Lepisosteus oculatus: one gene and its partner. The protein of the gene in region 1 purifies or fractionates together with the protein of each later gene. This does not show direct contact. Links are inferred from orthologs where the notes say so. Each region holds a gene or a part of one and is shown in the gene's direction. Other genes may lie near its edges.

What was found.
Region 2: the proteins of sbf1 (region 1) and mtmr1a purify together in Homo sapiens (affinity purification with mass spectrometry; 4 studies listed by BioGRID and IntAct, with this or other methods). This does not show direct contact. The link is inferred for Lepisosteus oculatus from reciprocal best matches to the Homo sapiens genes SBF1 and MTMR1.

Annotation. Positions count from the first base shown.
Region 1 is NC_090702.1:12,869,824-12,880,184, forward strand, and holds the start of sbf1 (myotubularin-related protein 5), read left to right. Parts: upstream 1-6,264; 5' UTR 6,265-6,471; coding exon 6,472-6,526; intron 6,527-10,361. UniProt on the Homo sapiens protein: Acts as an adapter for the phosphatase MTMR2 to regulate MTMR2 catalytic activity and subcellular location. Promotes the exchange of GDP to GTP, converting inactive GDP-bound Rab proteins into their active GTP-bound form.
Region 2 is NC_090703.1:40,997,637-41,008,334, forward strand, and holds the start of mtmr1a (myotubularin-related protein 1), read left to right. Parts: upstream 1-6,721; coding exon 6,722-6,852; intron 6,853-8,880; coding exon 8,881-8,986; intron 8,987-10,503; coding exon 10,504-10,527; intron 10,528-10,698. Other genes in the region: tmem185 (transmembrane protein 185-like), read right to left, coding at 62-269, 2,485-2,661, 3,615-3,652. UniProt on the Homo sapiens protein: Lipid phosphatase that specifically dephosphorylates the D-3 position of phosphatidylinositol 3-phosphate, generating phosphatidylinositol. Could also dephosphorylate phosphatidylinositol 3,5-bisphosphate to produce phosphatidylinositol 5-phosphate.

The DNA of each region.
Region 1 (10,361 bases):
CACTATTATTGTACTGTTCACCCAGATTGCTTCAGTAAAATTGCAGATTCCTTCAGGAAAGGAATAATCGGGCAACCGAATACTCAGAGGAGAGCTGAGGGGGTGCGTCTATCTTCTAGGTGGCATTATCTTATGTGAATGCTCACATAAGTATAATGACAAGTATGTTCAACTTACTCCAGGCAAATGTACTTTAAGTCTTTAAATCTTTAACGAAAAATAAGTCTGCTGCAAATGCAATGGGAAGAAAACTGAGACATTTGCAATTATGTTCTAACATCTAATAATCCATGACGCAAGCATTCACTTGTTAATACAGCAATATGGTTAAATAATTTACCAACTTTCCATTTGTTTCTGTACACAAGTAAACACAAATTAAGAATTTATTTCTTAATTAGTCTACATCTGACTCATGTGAACACTGTTGCTCCTGTGTGTTATTAATAGTATATTGTTTTACATTGTACCCTTTTTAATTAAACATTTTAAACAGGACAGCACAAAACCTTGTATTTTCATTCTTTTCATGGAAGAACAAAACAGGGCTTTTCTCAGTCCTGAACGCAGGAAAGGTGGGTGTGGTGGATCACTGACTCTGTCCATCTGTCGATCTGTCAAGTGCTGCATGAGAAAGGCTGTTTAGGAGTATATTTACATTCCTGTCATGTCATCTTTGTACCACTGATTCCTCTCATATTGTCTCTCACTGGTGCCCTCATTAACAGCTACCCTAACAAGCCACAAGAACAACACTTAGTAACCTACAAGATCTCAGACTGAACTGCATCTGGAGGCCCAGCCTTCAATGACTCAGTGATGTCAAAACCATGACAGCAGCATGACAGCGTATAGAGTCAGCAGATGTTAAGCCCCTGAGGAGGTCTACATGACAGAACTGGTCTCATAAAAACAACAGCCATTCAATCCTCCACGACAGCAAGGGATACAACCCTCCCTAGATAGTACTAATCTATTGAACATGCTCAAGCCAGAGTTCACAGATGTGGAAAACCAAACACAAATACCCACCCACCCTTTTGAAGTCCACAGGTCCACATGAATAGCTCCCCCTTTTGATATGAAGACCACTGTCAGAAGTCAGGGCCTCTCTGCTGTAGCTCACTCTGGGTTCTTGTCACCATCCCACACTAGGGTCTCTAGTCTGCTCTCTCGTCTGCCTCCTTGGGCATCTTCAGTTTCTCTGCAAATGTCTACTGGGATTAATCCACTGTCCTCATGAGTTGTTCAGGTGAGAGCAGTTGTTAGGACTGGGGGGCTTATAAGTGGAAGGTTGTAGGTTCAAGACCCAGATAGAGCGCTATTCTTGTACTCCCATGAGTAGCGTGTCTTAAGAAATTTCACTTGGGGTGTTGCCTGTATCTGACTGGGCTACCTAATCCCCTGAAAGTCTATCATCCTAGCTGTTTCTTTCCTTATTAAAAGATAATAGATGGGGAAAAAAAAAACTTTCTTATGTGGTAACAGGTAGCTCTTTAAGGCGATGATATCATCCAGCCAATTCTGGCCTGTACAGGGCTGATTCCTGTCATACTCTTTAAACACAGGGTGCCATATTCTTGAAGCTTTCCTTCAACAGCAAGCTTTTGCAGCCTCCTTCTGCCATATGACCCGCTTCAACGTCTTCAAGTCTAGTTGTCTAGTTCATTTGACACAGATGTGAAAAAAACAAGTTGGACAGTTCTGGTGGAGAACAAAACAAGTTAAAAAATGTTTTTATTAAATGGGCTCAGGATTACAACCAGGCAGAAAGCAGGTTCATTAGCAATATGGCAAAGCTTTTTTCATTACCATCCAAAGCTATCATAACCATTTAAAAAAACAACAGCCACAGTTTTGATATAATGTGATAAAGAATCACAGGGCAGAGCCTCACGCTCTTGCTCTTAAAAAAAAGCAGGCAGAGTGGTGGCACTGTGGCTAAGGATCTGTGCCTGTGGCTGGAAGGTAGCTGGTTCGAATCCTGCAACCCACAGAGGAATTCTGCTCTGTTTAGCCCCTGAGTAAGGCCCTTAACCCCAGCTACTCCAGGGGTGCTGTATAAATGGCTGACCCTGTGCTCTGGCCCCAAGCTTCTCTCCCTATGTTTGTGCCTGTGAGCAAGCTGGGGTATGTGAAAAGACAAATTCCTAATGCAAGAAATTGTATATGGCTAATAAAGTGATCTCTCATGCTCTTCTACTAACTGTTACTCAGATCCTCTTACAACCATATAATTTTTTATAAGAAATTACAAATAATTATAAATTCTGAGAGTGGAGTACATTTGTATTTTAGGTCACATCACATTCTGGAGAATGCTTTCCTGGAACATGGCGTAGTGATTGTGTGTCTCAAATCATTACGATTTTTTCTTTTTGCTGTCACTTCTAGTGATATGTGAACAAGTGTATGTTGCGGTTATATGCTGTTTCACCGGATGTAAAATGTACAAAAATAGTAAAGACCAGCTATTTAAATTGTTCTTTAAGCCACAGTACTTGATACGCCAGTTTGGTGATAACAATTTGACAGCAAGGCCTTTGATTTTTTCCTTTTCGCCAGCTGAAAACTTGAGGTTTTATTGTGAAACTGCTTGCTGCAGCAAAATGAACTGAGGACTGTGGCTTACTCCTTATCTTTTATTGGCTCTGAGCCTGCAAACTTCTTCTGTGGATTGTGTTGACAGTGCCAAGTTTTCTGAATTCCATTTTATCAGGACAGACTGAATGTGCACTCGTGGTTTGTTTAGTGTGAGCAACAGGCCATGCAATAGATGATGTGGCTTCATGTTAAACTGGCAACGTCAGTTTGACAAAGAGCGCTTTAAAGGGAAAGGTTACCATTTAAGTTTTAAATCATTAATTAAATGCAAAATCCTTAATGCAGGTCACGTAACTAACAACGGTGGTATTTGTAGTAAGAACTGTGATGTTATCAGATTTCCGTTCTGGTACAAGTATGGTTCTGAACATATTGTCCTGTCTATAGATATTGTAGTAATTGTTTTATCCTCTTAACATGTTTTACATGGTATTGTCACCTTTCTCAATATATAAAACAACTGTGAACAAGAACACTATTTTTTGTTAATTTATGTTAATCAGACTTCTTTAGAAAGTTTTTTGTTTGTTGCTTATCCTTCTGACTGATGTAAATACAATTGCTGCTGACAATTTTCCTGAATAATAACCTTCCTATGGTGTCCTATGCTGTGAAATTACAAAATGTAGCATATATATGTTTAAAACTTAAGATTTTATTTATTACCTGAATGCTGACACTGAAGACATATAATGGTAAGATAATTAGAAACAAAAACTGATTTTTTTTGTTTCTGAAACATGAAATATCAATTGCTTAAGACCTGTGAACTGTATTTGACGGAAGCACCTTAGGAAACAAATACAGCTACAAGACGTTTTGGGTAAGTTTCTACCAACTTAGCACACCCAGTAGGTCCAATTTTTGCCCATTTTTCTTGGCAGATTTGCTCCAGCTCTCCTAATTTAATTGGAGATTGCTTATAGACAGCTATTTTTTAAGTCTTTCCCCAGATTCTCAATAGGATTCAAGTCAGGACATTGAATCCTATTGTCAGTCAGTCCCTCAAAGGCATTCATTTTCTTATTCTTAATTCCTATTTTTGTAACTTTGGCCTGCTTTGGATCATTACATTGTCAGAAAGTATTTTTTTTTAAAGTCTAAAGCATGTTTTCCTCTAAGTACTTTACTCTATGTTCTCATTAATCATTAAAATAATTTCTGTAGAGATGATGCTGACTGAGTAATGTACAATGTTGAGCTTGCATCAGATATCACACTTTGTACTTAAACCAAAATGTTCCAATTTTGTCTTGTCTGACCACAAAACCTTTTGCCATATGTTTGCAATATCCACTTAGGCGCTTTGCTGTATGTGGGATATGAGATTTCTTTTGATTCCTTACAAGCCCCCTTGTATGAATGGGATGTTGTTGACCCATGAACATTTTCTCCTATTTCACTCTCTAAACTCTCTTATTTTTTAGAAGTTGCAGTTGGCTTTGCAGTATTACCCCCCTCCCTGTTTCCTTTTTGCTCAACTGCTTAGCTTGATGGGCAAACCTTTATTCTAGACAGTACCTATGTCATTTCTGCTTCTTGATGATCCACTTCACCATGTTCAAACACAAACTATTAATGGTCTTTGACATTTTTTCATACCCTTCTACTGATCTGTGCCTTTATATAACATTATCCCTTAGTTGTTTTGAATGCTTCTAGGTCTTCATGGTTGAACGTTTGCTTGAAGATTTGCTGCTAGACTGAATGACCTTACAGTTGTATTTATTCTGGAACCATGTGAATAATTATTTTTGCATGCAGACAGAGGACAGCCAACTAACTTTATGCCTTGGTAATCTTGTGAACGTAAATTAATTAAGATCTGCCAAAGCACAGAATTTGAATACTTATGCAATCATGACATTTCATTTTTTTTCTGTAATATTTCTTATTTTGTATTACTTTCTGTGTTTTGCTTTGAATATGTGGAGCAAGTTGTGTAAGTATCATGACTGCAAGTTTTTAAAGCAAAACAATGAGACAGCTTTGCAAGGGTCTAAATACTTTTGCAAGGTGCCTTAGGTATGGTGTTAAGAAAGGTTTGCAAGTTACATACTTAGACTGAGACTGCAGAGCTGTTCTCTGTTTAAAAAGTAGTATGATCTTCTCGACAAAGAAAGAATAATCTTTCTTCCTTCCTAACAATCTTTTCTTGAAATCCAATTCAGGTGAAGGGTTAAAGGAGCAGTCAGAAATGTTTGTCAGGGCTGGTTTGAAGCACAAATAAGCTAAGTGCTTTGAGTGTAATTGTAATTACATTGAGAAGGTTTAGACAATTGCCTTAATAAGCTGCAAGCCTTTTTGAGTGCTCCATCGTATTCATAAGTTTTGTTTGTGTCGATTTCCAAACACATCATCCTTCAGTAAATGTTTGCATATTGATTGTTTCCATAGAGGTGTTAGCTGTTGTTGGTGATATTTTGCTGTATTGTTATTACTACTGGAAATACCACTTCTCTTGCTGCTATGAACGTGATGTTTGTGACATTTATTAATTTGAACGTGATGAGTAAACTTGGGTAGGTGTAAAGAATGCAGAGCTTCATGCTCATGTGCAGCTACCCTCATTTGCACTTTTGAATCACATTTAGATTCAGATTTATTATCAGCTAGGTCTATTCTAGCTAATCTCCCTTCTCTGTTGTGTGTGATTGATCCATTCTGTTTTTCCACATGCTGAGCTAAACTTAATCTCCACCAATCCATGCAAATGATTTGTTACTATTACAGAAGTACAAAAAAGATCATGTTTGAAATCATGACTGTAAAGCTCATAGCACCAGATGTAAACTACAAAATGTTCATTATATTAATCAAATTAACCTGGAAAACATAGATTTATTCATTTTGCAAATCTATAGCAAATCCAATTAAGTGTGTGCAAAGAAAGTACTTGGTAATTATGGGTCAACAGCTCATTTATGCTCTGTTTAAGATTTATTCTGGACTTTAACCAAATCTGAAATGCACTCTTGTTGAGATGTTTTTACAATTCCAGAACACTGTGATCAATCTATGCTGCACCGAAGGATTCTAGTCAAAGGACCAATTTCAGAGTCTGTGAGCCTGGGGAGGTTTTTAATATACTGTACATATGGTCTTATCTTCCCTGTGGGCAAATTTCCCATTCCTTAACATATTGATCAGGAGGGAAATCTACACAAAGGGAAAATTGGGGTCATACAGCTTATGTCAAACAAGATAACAAAATAAAAAAAATACACTGGGATAGTTTTATATACTGGTTTCAATTCGGAAGAGGTTGTTTTAACTGAATTGCTTATCTTAATATTGTCTTGCAATAAAAGCATAAAGTCTTACACAGTATGACTATTAGCTGGTTTAACTCGGTACAAAGAAATATTAAGAATCGGAGAACAATGACTATAGAGACCGCACCTATGTTTGTAAATGACATGTTCCCATGAGAAATAGGTAAGGTACGAACCTGTTAATGTCACTTTGACATAACGAAATACGCTCTATATAAGGTGTACCTCTTCCTGTGCAATAATTAGGGAACCTCCTGTGCTAGCTTCGTGTGGATGATCTGTTATGACTACTGGCGTTATTAGCCAACGGCGAGCTTATCTGTGGGATCTGTGCGTGGAAGCAGTCAAAGGTTGGGGTGTTGATCTGTCAGTTTTGACCAGGCGCCCCTCCCTGGTCCTCGCCGCGCAGGCTCACTGCGTTCTCCCGGTCAGGGCGAGAACAGTGTCAGTATGGCGGCGGGGCGCTGCTGGAAGGATGCTGCTGCAGTTGCTGATGATGTCGCTCCTGCTGTCAGAGTATGAACAAGAGAGTCACGGAAAACGACAAGAGAACAAGCAAGGGCCGGACGTCGTGATCTCGTAGAGCGCCGACATGGCCAGGCTAGCCGACTACTTCGTTGTGGTCGGGTACGACCTCGATAAGAGGGGTGAGTCCCTGAGTGTTTTTGGAACCGGGCTGCAGCCTCAATATAGTAAACAGGAGGCGGGGAGCGCAGGGAAGGGGAGGCGGGGATGGGCCGGGGCCGGGACGGGACAACACTGTGCACCCTACTTCAGACATCCCAGGGCAGGCAAGCGCCGCCACTAACAGCCGCGGATGCCAGAGGCCTGAGCGGAGGGCCCGAAATTAGAGCTGTCTGTGTCAAATCTGGAAAGTACAAAAAGAAACAAAGACGAAAGCGAAGGAACTGTAACACTGTGCCGGGGATAAGGTGCTTACGGCCCTGTAGTTGTCATGTGGTTGAAATATAGCGTTTTAAAAGAGCGCTGTGCTGCAGATCTGGAAAGGGTGGACTCGTGTGTCTGCGTGTTACTTAGTCCTAAACTGAATACCGAAAGTGCGTAAGGGATGGAAACAAAATAAGGGCAACGTGACTTTATTTGTTTCAGTAGCATGGTAAATGAGCTGTTAACCTCTATCCGACAGGAAACAGGTTGATGTTTTATTGTCTGGCGTAAATTGACAACTGAACAGCCAACTATATTTTAGTGGTAGAAAGGTGTTTGACACAGTATGTCCATTGCGACCCTTTACTTTTTTGAAAGTCACATCGTGAAGAACTTGATATTGATCAAGATCTCATTAGTATTTTTTTAAGAAGAAACACGTTTAACTCGGGGTGAATTCTGCATCCGTATTCTTTGCTGGGGAGGGAGAGAGAATAAATCAAGTCCTCTATGGAAAGTTAAAATTCGCATCTGCAGTGTGTTGTGCATAGCCGCTGTAGGCCTGCTGTCATTTAATATTGCTCTCATCATTTGTGGCCTAGATGCATAAAGTAGGGTGTGCCTTGAAGATACACACATGAAAATTTTTTATTTATACGGCGATTGAATGCAAGCACCCTGAGACAGCCTTGGGCTGTTTGTTTTTAGAATGGGTTTGCACTATGTTTTACATCTAAACTAAAACAGAAATCGCAGAATATCACTTATGTTCTTCACTAAAATTCGATATTGTAGAAGTGCAGGTCTACCAAATGCATTCTTACCGTTTCCAGTTATTCAATGTATTTTTAAGTATCCTAAAGAGAGCAGTGTTATGACTAATTTATGTAACAGACACATTTATCCAAAGTGACAAGTGTATGTATCTGTTCGTACAGGAGGGTGTTTCAATCTAAGTGAAGCACCTTGAGCACTGTACCTCCCAAGATTCAAACCCACAACCTTCCAGAGGCCAGAGCCGTAGTCATTGCTCCAACACCTACTGTAGATAAAGGGTGGGATATTGGACTCGGCCTGCACCCAAATCTGGAGTAGGGACCAGAGGAGTCTTTGCATCCTAAAGAGTGAATCCAAAATTTTTTGTGTGGATTATTTTCCTTTCCACTGTACAGAACAGAGATGGCAGAACATCTGGGTACCAGACAAACAAGAAACAGGTTGGAATTAAAAAAAACAACAACAACAACAACAAAGGCCGTTGTGTTGTTTCCAAGCCAGCCAGATGTTTTTTTTTTTAAACATAAAAAAGCTTTTGTTTTAATTGATGGAAAACCTGGCATAAACTAAAGGTAGGACTCTCGACACTGAAACGTAGCTGTTGAATGTGGGTTAACTCCAAGTCAAGAAAGATGCTAAACCTCACTTTGGCTCCGAAAGGGAAGAGTCAATGAATGTTAACATAGTGTCTGTCAATGTAAATAGTTACAATTGTTCACACTAATGTAAGTCACCTTGATATCAGCTCAATTGGACCTGTATTACAGCTCCCAGGTCTCCAGGTTTTGAAAAGGCCCAGAGTTTCCTCCAGTCTGGAGCAGGACTGGATGCCTCTGTACTAGATGATACACCTTGCAGCTTTTTTAAAACTTTTTTTCAATCGGGGATTCTCATCCTTGGTCTCACAGATCCACAGCTCGGCTCTTCCTCATTTCCGCTTTGTTTGTTTTTTAAACACAATCTTAATTGAACTCAATGTTGCGTGATTTGAGACCTTGCAAGTTTCTGTCTGTACTCAGGAAGGGGGAGATCGGAGGTTCTGTATGACACGCAACGATTGTAAAGGCAACGTTCAACAAGGTTTTGGAATGTGAAACTATTAAGATCGCATATTCTTTTATAAGGCTCATTAAGGTCTCGGTAATGTAACTGAGAGCCCAACAGGAACAAAACATCAGCAGCTGTGTGGGGCCCAGGACCAGGGCTGGGAACTTCTGTTTTCAACTATTTCTGAAGTCCTACCTAGCCTTATGTAGTGGGAAATGAGCCACTTGTGGTGCTGTTCAGAGTGAAGGCTGCAGAAGACCCAGCCTGAAAAGTCAGGTTTGGTGATATTGTAGTTCAGATGTGGTGGAAACTTCCTGTTCGAGGAGCTACAGCTATTTTGCGACATCTGTCGTTTCCTTTGATGATTAATGAACAAGCACTTGGAATTTCTCTAGTTAGGGACACCGTGCTTTTTGCTTGCCAAAGGCAAGTTCAGTAAAAATTGATTGAAATTCCTTCTCTGACTTTGAACTTATTTAGAGATTGCAGTAATTTCCCCCGATGTAGGGCTAGATGCAAACCCATTTTTGTCTTGCGCCTATACACTATCAAATTCATGTGCAAAATACTAGTTCTGTGTAAGCAGAGCATCTCATGAATCACTGAATAGATGGTCCTTTACCGATGGATGCTATGAAACATTGTGGAGCAGTGTGTTCATCAAATCATGAGTGGACTAACATCTCCTGACATGATGGGAGTTAAGTGTTGCCTTATCTAAAGCAAGAAACTGAATACAGTCAGATATTTTGGTGATTTAGTTAGCCTTAAGTATTGATCACACAGATGAATCAAAGGGCCCAGGTTAGTGGAAGTGTAGCAGGCATATTTTTTGGAAGAGAAAGTATTCAGTAATGTAATAAAATCAGTTTGGGGGTCTTTGTGGGGGACCTGCTCTTTGAGGCTAACCTATTTTCCCCTTCACTCCTGAAAACATTTCATTTTTAGCTTCATTGATCTTAACCTTCACATCTCAAAGCTTGAAGTGTATTTAGCTGTGCGCAGATGCAGTCGTCTTGAAAAGGTAAATGTGGAGCTGAACGATCACTGACGCTAAGATCAAAGCTCTTCGTGACACTGTCTGCAATAATTTACATTTGGGTGTGGCAGCCTTAAATTTCAAAAGAAAGTATGCAGTGCATTTTGCTTGATTATGAATGAAGTCACCAAAAACAGATACTTGTAGGTTTCTTTAGAGGTTTTGCTTTAAACAGGAAATGGAGACTGCAAAGTCAGTCACTCAAGGGAATTGCAGATACACTGAGAATCAAGTTTTTGTTTATAGGCTGTGGAACAACAATGTTGTCGTTTCCAAGCACTGAATTATGTTCGTGCTGTTCATTTGTAGCTTAAGTATCCACACGTCCCTACCAAGCAGACTCTTCTTTTAGTGGATATTTGGCTGAAAGCGGTAGAAGATCTATTTATTATTCATAACAAGAATGCTGTTCTCATAAATGCAGTACTGGGCTTGAGCAGTTTCCGGTGTTGTTGTTTAGAAAATATGGCCCAACATGTCAAACTCCGTAATTGTCAGGGGTGAATACTATTTGTCACAGAAAAGGAAGTTGTTGTTTTTCCTCGGAAAGTGATCAGAGCTGATCATTAACAGAGATGGAGAAGAGAGAACCTATTTTGTAAATGTTCTTAATCTGCATTTTTGGTGATTTCAAGATTTGGTGTCATGACTTTTCTGTGTTTTTAAAATATTTTGGAAATATGAAAATTCCTCCATGTCTCTTTTGCTAAGTGTTAATTAGTGGACATTAG
Region 2 (10,698 bases), on another chromosome or scaffold:
TATGCAATCAAGACAATACTGACTGGCCATGGTCATTTTTATAACGGTGACCACTACTGACCTCCAGCGAGCGGTCATGCCGGAAGCCCCAGACACAGGCCGCTACTGACACTGGAGACACGAAGAACAGTGGCATGAAGACCAACAGCCAGAAGTGAGTCCCTCTCTCAATGCGGTCGCACACCAGCACCTCGAACATCAGCAGCAGCAGGTGAATGCCCACTGCGATCAGCATGGCCTTGAACTCCACGCAGGTCTCCCCTTCAGCCCTGCCCGCCGGGAGAGAGAAAGGAAAGCGTCACAGGTGACATTCAGGTGAAACGGAGAGAAAGCAAAACCCCAAAAGGAGGCAGAATGAGGCTAATGAACTCCAGTGGGTGGCAGATTATGCTGTTCTTGGCCATCAAGCTCATTCTTACCAACCATTCTTCAAGATTATAAAGCTGATTATATGTAGCTAATCTTCATTTAAAATCAACCACTGTCAAGGTTTATGCCTGGACTCCTCTCTGGCTATGAAATCCTTTAGATATCAGAAATGCCAGCAGTCTTTTTTTTTTTAAATCCAAGAGACATTCACAGCTCAGCTGTGAGGATATGACGTGGTGCCATTTGTTTGTGAAATAGCTCCTTGAAAAGCATCAGCATTAAAACCCACTATAAAATCTGAGCAAAAGCTTTGCAAGAAGTCCAACTCCCAGACAAGTAAACGCAAAGCCCGGATTCCAAATGAGATCTCTGGACTTCTGAGGTTTTGCAGACAAAATCATGTTACTCAACCTGCTGATGCTGATCATTGCGAGCATGCGTGATGAACGCCCCTTGTGACTCATCATGGCCTCAGCTACCACAGCTGAAGTTATGTCTTGGCAACCAAAAGATTGGAGTGCAACAAAACAGATGATCAGAAGCACTGTCCACGGCAGAGAAATCCTGAGCTCAGCAACAACATGGATCCTAGGCCACATTCTCCACCTTCCTGTTAATAGGTCTTCATCGTATGTTGAAGCTGTACCGTACAGCTTCTACATAAGTAAATACAAATTGCATTTGGCTTTGAAAGTATACTTCTGTTCCCGAGTTCCTAAAACAGGATGTGGAAGGGTAGGACTGAGCAGTCAATACAAGTTCTGCATGAGTACCTTCAGGAATTTTCTACCGTCTTCAATTTTAATACAGAACTGATTCAGCAAACAAAGTGTCTACATTGTTTCCATAGTCAAGCCAAGTTGCCTACCAACTTGCCTACCAACTTGCCTGATGATTACTGTAATTTTCAGTACTTGAATTTCGTACCTCTAAACAAACATGTACTTATTAGAGAAAAAAAAAGCAAACTCTTACTGCTATTAAGTAAAGCCTAGTTAAGTAGCAACTACACTGTTTGTCAGACTTCCTTGTTTATGGTATTGATCTGCCTTTGCCATTTCTCAGAAACAGCTGACGTGCAAGGTCTGGTAATTTGCTGCATCCTACAACACAACCTGATATAACCATCTTCACAAGCCATGACAGGCACACTGGCAACATGAGGTCCAGTGCAGCCAACGAGCTGCAGTCACCTGACCTGTGAGATCACGAGCGCAAGGCTTCACCAGGGCCCAACTTCACTCATTGCAGAGGCTGTAGCTGATACTTTAATCACCTCTAGCCAGGAGCTATAGATCATTCCTGTTGTTCTTTTTCAGCATTCTGGAGGCTTGGTTTGATTACAAAATACATAAATCTAGGAATCACCCACAGCTAGGCAGAGCCTTAGTAATGTTACACACCCTAATCTGTGCTAGAACTCCAGCAGTAACATTCTGATAACATGATGCCCCCCTTCTCCTTGCATTATTTATATTTAGTGTTAGACAACTTGTGTTTATTCATTATTTAGGTGATGCTTTTATCCAAGGCACCTTACACCCTAAATCACTGAATAACAACCTTTTACAATCATTAGACAGAGAATTCAACATAAAACACTGTATGCAAAATTAGTGCATTTTCATTACATACAACTCCTTTAAGAACTGCAATGCTATATATTTGCATACTTTTCATTAACACGTCAAAAGGTACTTAAGATTAAGTGCTGATGGTTAAACTGTATGTAATTAAGCTATTAGGAATAACATGAACACTGCCACCAAAATAATCCACTTCCCTGGCATTTCTGCGCATATTAACACCACTGTTGTGTACAGATCAAATAATACTATTATAATAATATTTTCAAAAACCAGGAGGCCAACAGCACAGGCCTATATCTACATTAAACGGGTCTGGGCAACTCTGTTGAAAAAGACCACAAAAACACTTACCACATCTGAAAGAAACTGGAGGCAGAACAACAACATGCTTTCTTAAGACCCCAAAAGGGGCAAAAGCAGAAATGTCCCCTCACTTAATGTCAGTCTGGAAGGTTGATGGTACATTTGTTAACTAAGGCAGCTACAATTCCATTCGGAAAGGCAGAGCATGCAGCTGCTAGCTCACCTGTACTGTGGGTTTCGGGCCCACACTCCTGTGCCCACCGACGCACCAATGATGACCATGAGCTTCCAGAGCCATATGGGTGCAAAGACGGCCCAGTAGCTCCACTGGATGATTCCATCGAGCCGGAGGGAGAGCAACACGGAGAACAGCAGCAGGCAGGAGTAGATGAGGAATTTGCTGAAAAGCACAGGGATAGCTAATTCAGACTTTTGTGCCATGAACAACTGGCGACAAACCATCACAGCGCCATTTAACAACCGGCATATTCTTAACGTCACTGTTTTTCTGCCACCATTCTGAATTAAATAAGACTATGTGCAAAATTCAAACTGCTTGTGAAACTGGTGAAACGAGGACCACACTAGAAATCACGAGTTTTCGATTCTGTCTGTGGCTAATGAGAAATTAATCTGTGGTAGCGATAATTCTCGCTAAAAATATTGTTGAAAAAAACATTTTCATTCTCTTGTTTTAGCTTGCTACCTAGTACGAAATAAGTGTTATGCGGCGCCAAACGTGTTAAGCGACACAAAATCTGGTTACATCGGATAAGCAATTGCTTCTGCAAACTTCAAGACCCACTGTAATTTTTAGTAGGCGTTTGTGTTTCCGTGCGGACGGCTTCGAAACAGGAAGAGCACTTCCACAAGCTGCAACCACAATATCGAAAACAACACGATATTCTACCAATCTGTTTAGTAGCATTAACAATCGTCACTGAGGCCCATATACTCAAAAAAAAAATAACGGTTGCAAACAGAAAAGCAGATAAATTGCTGGATTTACTACAAAATAGTTGGCCTATGTGCTCCATGTTTTGATCTCCACTATTCCCGACTTTGAAGCCGCATTCTTCGGGTTGCAACATCAACTTTAGTCCGGGGCTTTCGGGCATGACTCCTCCGCTGAAGTACTTTATAATCTTTCAATGAAAACAAACTCTCGCTAGATAGCACAATCAACCCCGAAAAACAAAACCACATCATGAATTTACATTTACATGCTTAAAAATACAGGTTAAAACAAGTGAAAGCTGTTTTAGTCTAACACGAGGCCTGTTACCCCATCAGTAACTATAACGCCACATTTAGAGGTTTGCATGAACAAGAACAGCGTTCAATTCTCTTTACCTGGGATTAAAATCTTGGAAGAGTCCCCTCAGATTCATGGTGGAGACTTTCTTGCTCTAAATCATCGTTTTCTTGTGAGTCTCACTCAGAAGGCTTCCGCCCTGCTCTCTCAGTCCCCTCCCCGGCGCAGCAGAGAGAGAGGCGGGCAGGCAACAGCGACACCTGCGCGCCCTGCTGGAGAGGTGCGCTCCGCCCGTCTTCGAACACCCCAAAACACAGGTCGGCACTGTTTTCTGCAAAACGGGGGGACCCCATTTTGATCAACCGCTTCTGATAAAAGGGGGCAGTAGCTCCAGATTAAAGCAAATAAAGATGGCAACTGCAAAAAACTGCCGAATTAATTTATTAAAATGAGACCCGACCCGCCGACTCAAGGTTCTGTCTACACATTTGTTAATAAAGCCACTGGAGTGAGCGTTAAAAACAACCCCCTCCCAGACGATAATATTAACCGTAAAATAGTTGGGTAAAGTTCCCGTTACCCATCTTTTACAACTAGAATCCATTCAAGGGGCCCTTTATTCTACACTGAGCACCTAAACAAAATTATTAGTCTATGTACAGTTTTAAGAAACAAAAGTGTAAATATATGTATATTTCTAATATGACCATGGTACACTCAGATGCCTTTAAATGTTTCAGAAGGACCAGCCTGTTCCTAGTGGGCATTAACTGTAGATCATGAGGCGGTTTAATCTGTTGAAGGTTAATTAGAAAGATGTTAAGATGTCAGAGGTGTCCCTACCATCTGATATCCGAGATCAAATAAAAAATAAACAAACCCTGAAGCACTATCTGGCCCTAAACAGACTGTGACCACAGCCTGGTGACAGTCTCATATCTGTCTGGTCTGACACAAAGAAAGCACTTTGCTGAGGAAGGTCAGACACTTAGGTGTAATATACTTCCTGCCCGGAATGTGGCTCTGTCACAGCCTGAGTGTGCAGGGGCTGAGAGACCGAGAAACCGAGACACCGAGATGAACTGAATTGACATAATGGGTTGATGTTCAGTTCAGTTTTTCTGATTCACCGGTCTCGTTTGTTTCTGTTATTTTTCTCTTTGCGTATTACTTTTAAGATAAATCTAAATATATATATATATAATTTTAGCATTTGTATTACGGTTTTGTTATTGCTTTGGCAGCATTTTGACTACTTGGCATGACAACAAAACTCCTTTCAATTTGACTTCGGTACTGTGAGCCGCCGTAAGGTGGAGCTGTTTGATAACAGAGAGTTTAACATTGTGGAAAGCACAGTCTATACCTGCACTTTCATACTGGACGCTCGCAGAGACCCTTCATGCAAGAGCTACCTCTTCTACTTTGTAGTGGTTTTACTAGAGACACACTTGTAACAAGAGGCTTTTACAAGAACATGCAGCGTTATTTAAAACTCCAGTCAAACCCAAAGGAACACAGAGCTCTCGAAGACCATGTCCCAGTTGAACTAATAATTCAATTCAATTCAATTCAAGGTGCTTTATTAGCATGACCGATGGGTACAGTCAGTGTTGCCAAAGCAAATAAAAATAATAAAATTAACATAGAACAAAACAAAAAATAGAAGTAAAATAAAATCTACAGACATGTTACAGACATTTACAACAAAGACATATTATATAATATTGACATACTGTAGGCAGCTGGAGCATTATTGGGAGACGGACTCACTGTTCCTCAGGCTGTGACAGGAGATCACATACTGGGCTGCCAGATCAACTGAGTTCCCTCCTCCCTCTCCCAGTAGGATTGGGACCTGTTGTGGTTTTGGCAGGTGTGGGAACTCTGGGATTAGATTTCTGAATTTCGGGAAGAATGTTTCTCTAATCCCAGAGTATCTGTCACAGTGCAGTAGGAAGTGCACCTCTGTCTCTATTGAACTAATATCTCACACTGAAACGCATTTTGTGACTGTGAGGTTAATACCTTTAACCTTGTCGAAATCACCCTGGGGGGTTCAAGGGAACGTTTCCGCAGGTCTTTCCTCCCGGTGGTTGTCTGGGTGTATAACGCTGCCCTAGGCTAGGACTGTTAGCCCTTCATTTGCTTGTCTATGGACAGCATGTTGCTCCATTATACTTTTTGGACAATCAATCTGTATAAACCTATGCACATTTTGCACATATTCTATTGTTTTTACAGTGACTATGATCATCATATTTTGCACACACCTATGTATTTATTTTGTATAATGTTTCGTCTATTCTTATCTTATTGCTTGTCATGGGCTGGACTGCTGTAACACATAAATCTCCCTTCGGGGTCAATAAAGTCTAATCTATCTATGGATCGCATTCTGCTACAGGGAAGCAAAATATGACATGAAGTGTCAGTCAAAAATAAAAAATTAAACAGCTCCAAATACACCACCCCACTCCGGTATGATTATGAAACCTACAGTGACATGGTACTGTACTCATTTGATGGCAAGATACCAGTCTTTCTTTTACGTGTAATGTGTTCTCATAGGAAGTGTGTTACAGAACTTGCCGATACAGAATCATGCTATCGTTAAGGGTTTGATTTGATGGTAGTAACGGATTCTTGCAAATCACATGAAAAAGGAATTACATGCTTTCATTTTAAGAACCTCTTCAAATATATTTTCAGTTCTGACACACTCCACAGGGGTCCACGCTATTCCCATATTGTTTACATAGGAATACACCTGATTACTATTCACGCTGTACAACCTCACCAAGTTGCTTTGGGGATTACACCCGCACTCTCGACCATCTGAGAACAGGATAATTCTTTTCAGCTCCCACCCACCTTTCTCTGCCTCGGCGGAAGAGCGCTTTCTTTTTCAAGCCAGTCTGGAAGAGAGGAGGACCTGCTGCCCGGCGCCCCTGTCCGGGCGGAGAGGGGCGGCTGTGGCCCTGCGAGCCAGGGACGAGCGCGCAGTTGCATCCTGGGTAATCGCAGTGACATGAGGGTATGGCTGCTTCCTGGATTCGGCGCTAGCGGTTCGCTGTCACTGGAACAAAAACACAGGAAATCTTTGCGTAGCTTGCCCGGAAAAAAAAGACGCCCATATCCGTCCATTGCACTAGGAAAGCGTAGCCTGCATTAGGAAAATAGGAAGGAAGGAAACTGGCAAAGGATGGAAAAGGTTCCAGGCGGAGGCAGTTACGGAGCGGAGAGCCCTGCTCCCCCGGCACTGCCCTCTAGGAAGCCTGCGCGTCCGCTCGTGGGACCCGGTCCCAGGCAGCCCAGCGAGGAGACTCTGGACAGGTAAATACACAACACTCGGCAGCGCTTTGCTTTCTCCTATAAGGGCAGCAAGACGGCCGTTGAGCTTAAAAATTAAGAATTGGATACACAATGGCTTGGAGACCGTGTCTGTTCGGTGCACGGCTGCAGGGTGAGAAATATTTTCTCCGTCTCCTATACCGGGTGTGTCGGGCTCGTCGACTCTGTCTTTTGCAATCAAGGATCGACAGTAAGTGATGCCTTACTGCTCTAGTTGATAATCTGGAACAAGGGAAAGTACGAGTGTCTGCTGTCAGCAGTCCAGCCACTGATAATAGAATATACGGGACTAAAGCTCGATTCATGCCAAGGCTGTATTTCCTAATGAAGCCATCCCAAATCATCATTTTTTTTTATTAATTATGTCAATGCGTCGATGTTTTGTGGAAACGTGACAAGCACGTAAGGATTTTTGGATCTAAGATCTAGGAGTTAAGGATCACCCTTTCACAGTGATTTGACTTTTGTGAAGTACTTGATAAGTTCCTGTAATGTTCAAAACCCATGTACTGTATTTCAACTGGGGCTGTAAATAGTTTCTCCTGAATTCATGTTCATATGCAAAAAAGTTTTGATACATTTAGACAACTGACAAAAGTGGGTGAAAGTGTTAACAGAGAATGTGCTTTGCTGCCTACAGTATGTGTTGAGATCTCAATAGGAGACCTCTGAAACATAAAACTGATTGTTGCTGTAAGTGGTGTTGGTAGACCAGTAGGAGGTGCTGTTCTCTATGTTGTGGAATTTACCATCCAGTGTCCCAGTATGGTGACAGGAGACACTACTTAAGGAAGTGCTATGCTTTAAATGAGACATCGAACTGACAACTTCACTATTTGTTCCTTAGTCTTCGCCTCATTCAATCTGGCATTGGAGTGGGTCCCCTCTTATACGTAAAACTCTTTGGGGTCCTTCAGGATGTTTGTTCTGAAGCTAGTATTTCTTAGAGGGTTAATATTTGCAGCCAATTCTTAGTACTGTAAGTAGAAATCCTTGCTCCATAACATCTGCCCTTTTGATTATTTTTAGTAAAGATCATGTTACATTTACAAGGTAGTGATATTTCTGTGTGGACTTGTGGATAGCAACACTCTAACAACAGATAACACTCTAAATATCAATCTGACTTGTTTGAGTAGCACTTTGGTTCAGATAATTTGTGTTAGGAAGTTGTGAAATGAAGGCTCTTGTATGCATTTAGGTCCATAGCAGTGCCAGACTGCAAAGTACTGAATATTGAATAGGAGTTAAATGCTTAAAAGAATACAGTACTGACAGTCATTGAATGTTGCAATACCAGTGTAGGAATCTCTCAACTTCAAATACAACTACACTAAAGTTAAAGAATTGTCATAAGTGGTGTGTTTTGAGGCCGAATGAATAAAATCAACAGAGAAGGAAAAGGCACCTTTGCTTGTTTAAGATGGATGAATAGATGGAATAATTCAGTCTAGGATAGACTAAATACCTGTCACAGTCCTTGCAGTCCTGTTTATGCCGAGAGGATACGTCACAAAAAGTACTGGGAAGGGGAGAGAGTTGGCTTGTGATTTCTTCACAGCAGCTACCTGTGGGGCCTGCTAGGTGCCTGCAGGCCAGTGTGGGGGTCAGTAGGCGTCCATTCACTGCCTGGAACCTCTGTTCTGCTCTGTCTGCTTGGGAAAACCACATGATTGCATCAGGGCCTGGCTGCAGCTGAGAGTCAGCCGGGATGAAAGTCGGTGGTTTGAAGTTGGCCCTTTCACTCTGGCCGAAGATTGTTTGCAGGTCAGAGGCCAGGAAAATCAAGACCTCCAGACATCCGTGTGTGCCATTTTCTTACACAATTAGATAATAGGACTGAAACATCTGCAGCTGGCAGCTAGAAACCAACATGAATGATTCTGTTTTAATGGGAGTCTTGTAAGCTCCTGGCTCTTAGTAAGCTGGAAATGTTTACTATATAATATCTCACCTTATAATCTCTCCCATGACACTTACTGTGATAATAAAAACCATCTCTCATTGCAGCCCCACAGGATCCCATGTGGAATGGTGTAAACAGCTGATCGCTGCCACAATCTCCAGTCAGATCTCTGGTGTCGTGCCCTCTGACCCCGTCTCCCGGGATTACAAGGTATGAGCTGCCCATCAGACCAGTGCACTGGAGTGTGTGACAGCCAGATTCTTAATGTAATTGATGGGGCTGATTGGATCTTGCATAGTTCATTTGATAGATTTGATAGAAACTCAGTGTGTTTAATGTTTGTCCCTCATACACTGTCACTCCTTGAATTATGTGAAGTTGAGTATTATATGATTCACGTGCTTAATAAAGTAAAATGTGCTTCCCGATTACATGTTACATGTTGTTAATCTCATTATTGTTGTTGATCTGGAAATTTCAGAATTGAATTTGGATAATTACGGATTTGTAGATTCATAAGACCTGTTTCCTTTAACCCTAAATGACTCCTTCTGGAATCTTGAAAGTTAACGGTTTTATTCTGTTCATTCATTCTTTTATTCTTTATTTCCTTTACCCTTTCTTCCTCCAGAGTGGATGCAAGGCATGTCTTACCTTTACCAACAGCTTTGCATGACAGTTTTCTTTTCCATTTTTTATCATTCATTGCTGATGATATCCTAAGATATAAAAATAAAGGAGGTGTGATGGCACAGTAGATACCACTGCAGCCTATGAGCTGCTGGGTTCTGTGTTCGGTTCCAGCCGGGGCTGCCTTCTGTGGGGAGTTTGCATGTTCCACCTGTGTCCCACATGGGTAATCAGTGTCTGTATATTATGTCTTGGTGGGAGTGCGCCCAGTGATGCACTGCAGTTCCATTCAGAGTGTAGCTCTGCCTTCCAGGATGGGCTGACTTTCTGAAATGATTTGTGATGGTGGATAGATGGCTGGAGTAGCAAAGCACTAAAATAAGAAAACAAGCTTTTGTTTTGTGTTTGCAGAGCAAATACAGATGCAAAACAGTGGTTCTCTGGCGTTTAGACTTAATGATGAACATAACCGTGAGAAAAATACTACTGTATTTAAAAAAATAAAATTGTATTTTTTAGGAAAATAAAAAAACGGTGAAGATGTGTTGGGGTTCAAAGTTTTTCCTCTTTAATCATTAATTTCACATGTGTTTTGGGCATTAAGTAATGAGAAACGCTCAGGTGATGTTTTGAGAGAACTATCTGGTTGACATTTAGTTACTTTGGACTTAACCAGTTTAACTTGCCTCATGCTGAAGAACACTGGGTAATAGATTTAGTACTTTGGGGTTTTAATGGGTAGTAGATTTAGGTTTTTCACTGGACTGATGATGGCTGTATAAAAATCTAAAGAAAATGCAAATGAGCAAGATGATTTGGTGCCCATTTCTTTGGTGTAATTGCTCTTGATCCTCAAAGAACCTGAAAAAATCTGCAACTATAGTATTAATAGCAGACATAATGAGACATATTAAGACGTTTGGGTTTTTTTGCCGAATCAGAAGTGTTGCCTTCAGTGCCCTCTCTAAGCTGTAGCATTGGAAAAAGAGGCTAGGGATGACAGCCTTGCTTGGGATTTAAGATCTCCTCGACTGCTTTGTTCTGGGCTCTGCAGTCTTATCAGGAAGGTTCATAACTGCTGTGTTTCTGACTAACAGGTTGGAAGGATGCCGGACTTGCGGGTAAGACTGACGCAGTGTGTGCAGAGCCTTCCTGTCTCATGCTAGTGCTAAATGAAAGATGCGGTGTCTGTGTGTCTTCTCTTTTCCTGTCGCAGAGCAGCTGTGTGACAGAATGAAACTCATGTACCTCATCTGCAGACAGAGAAATGTAGGCTTGCGGGCTTGTGCTTC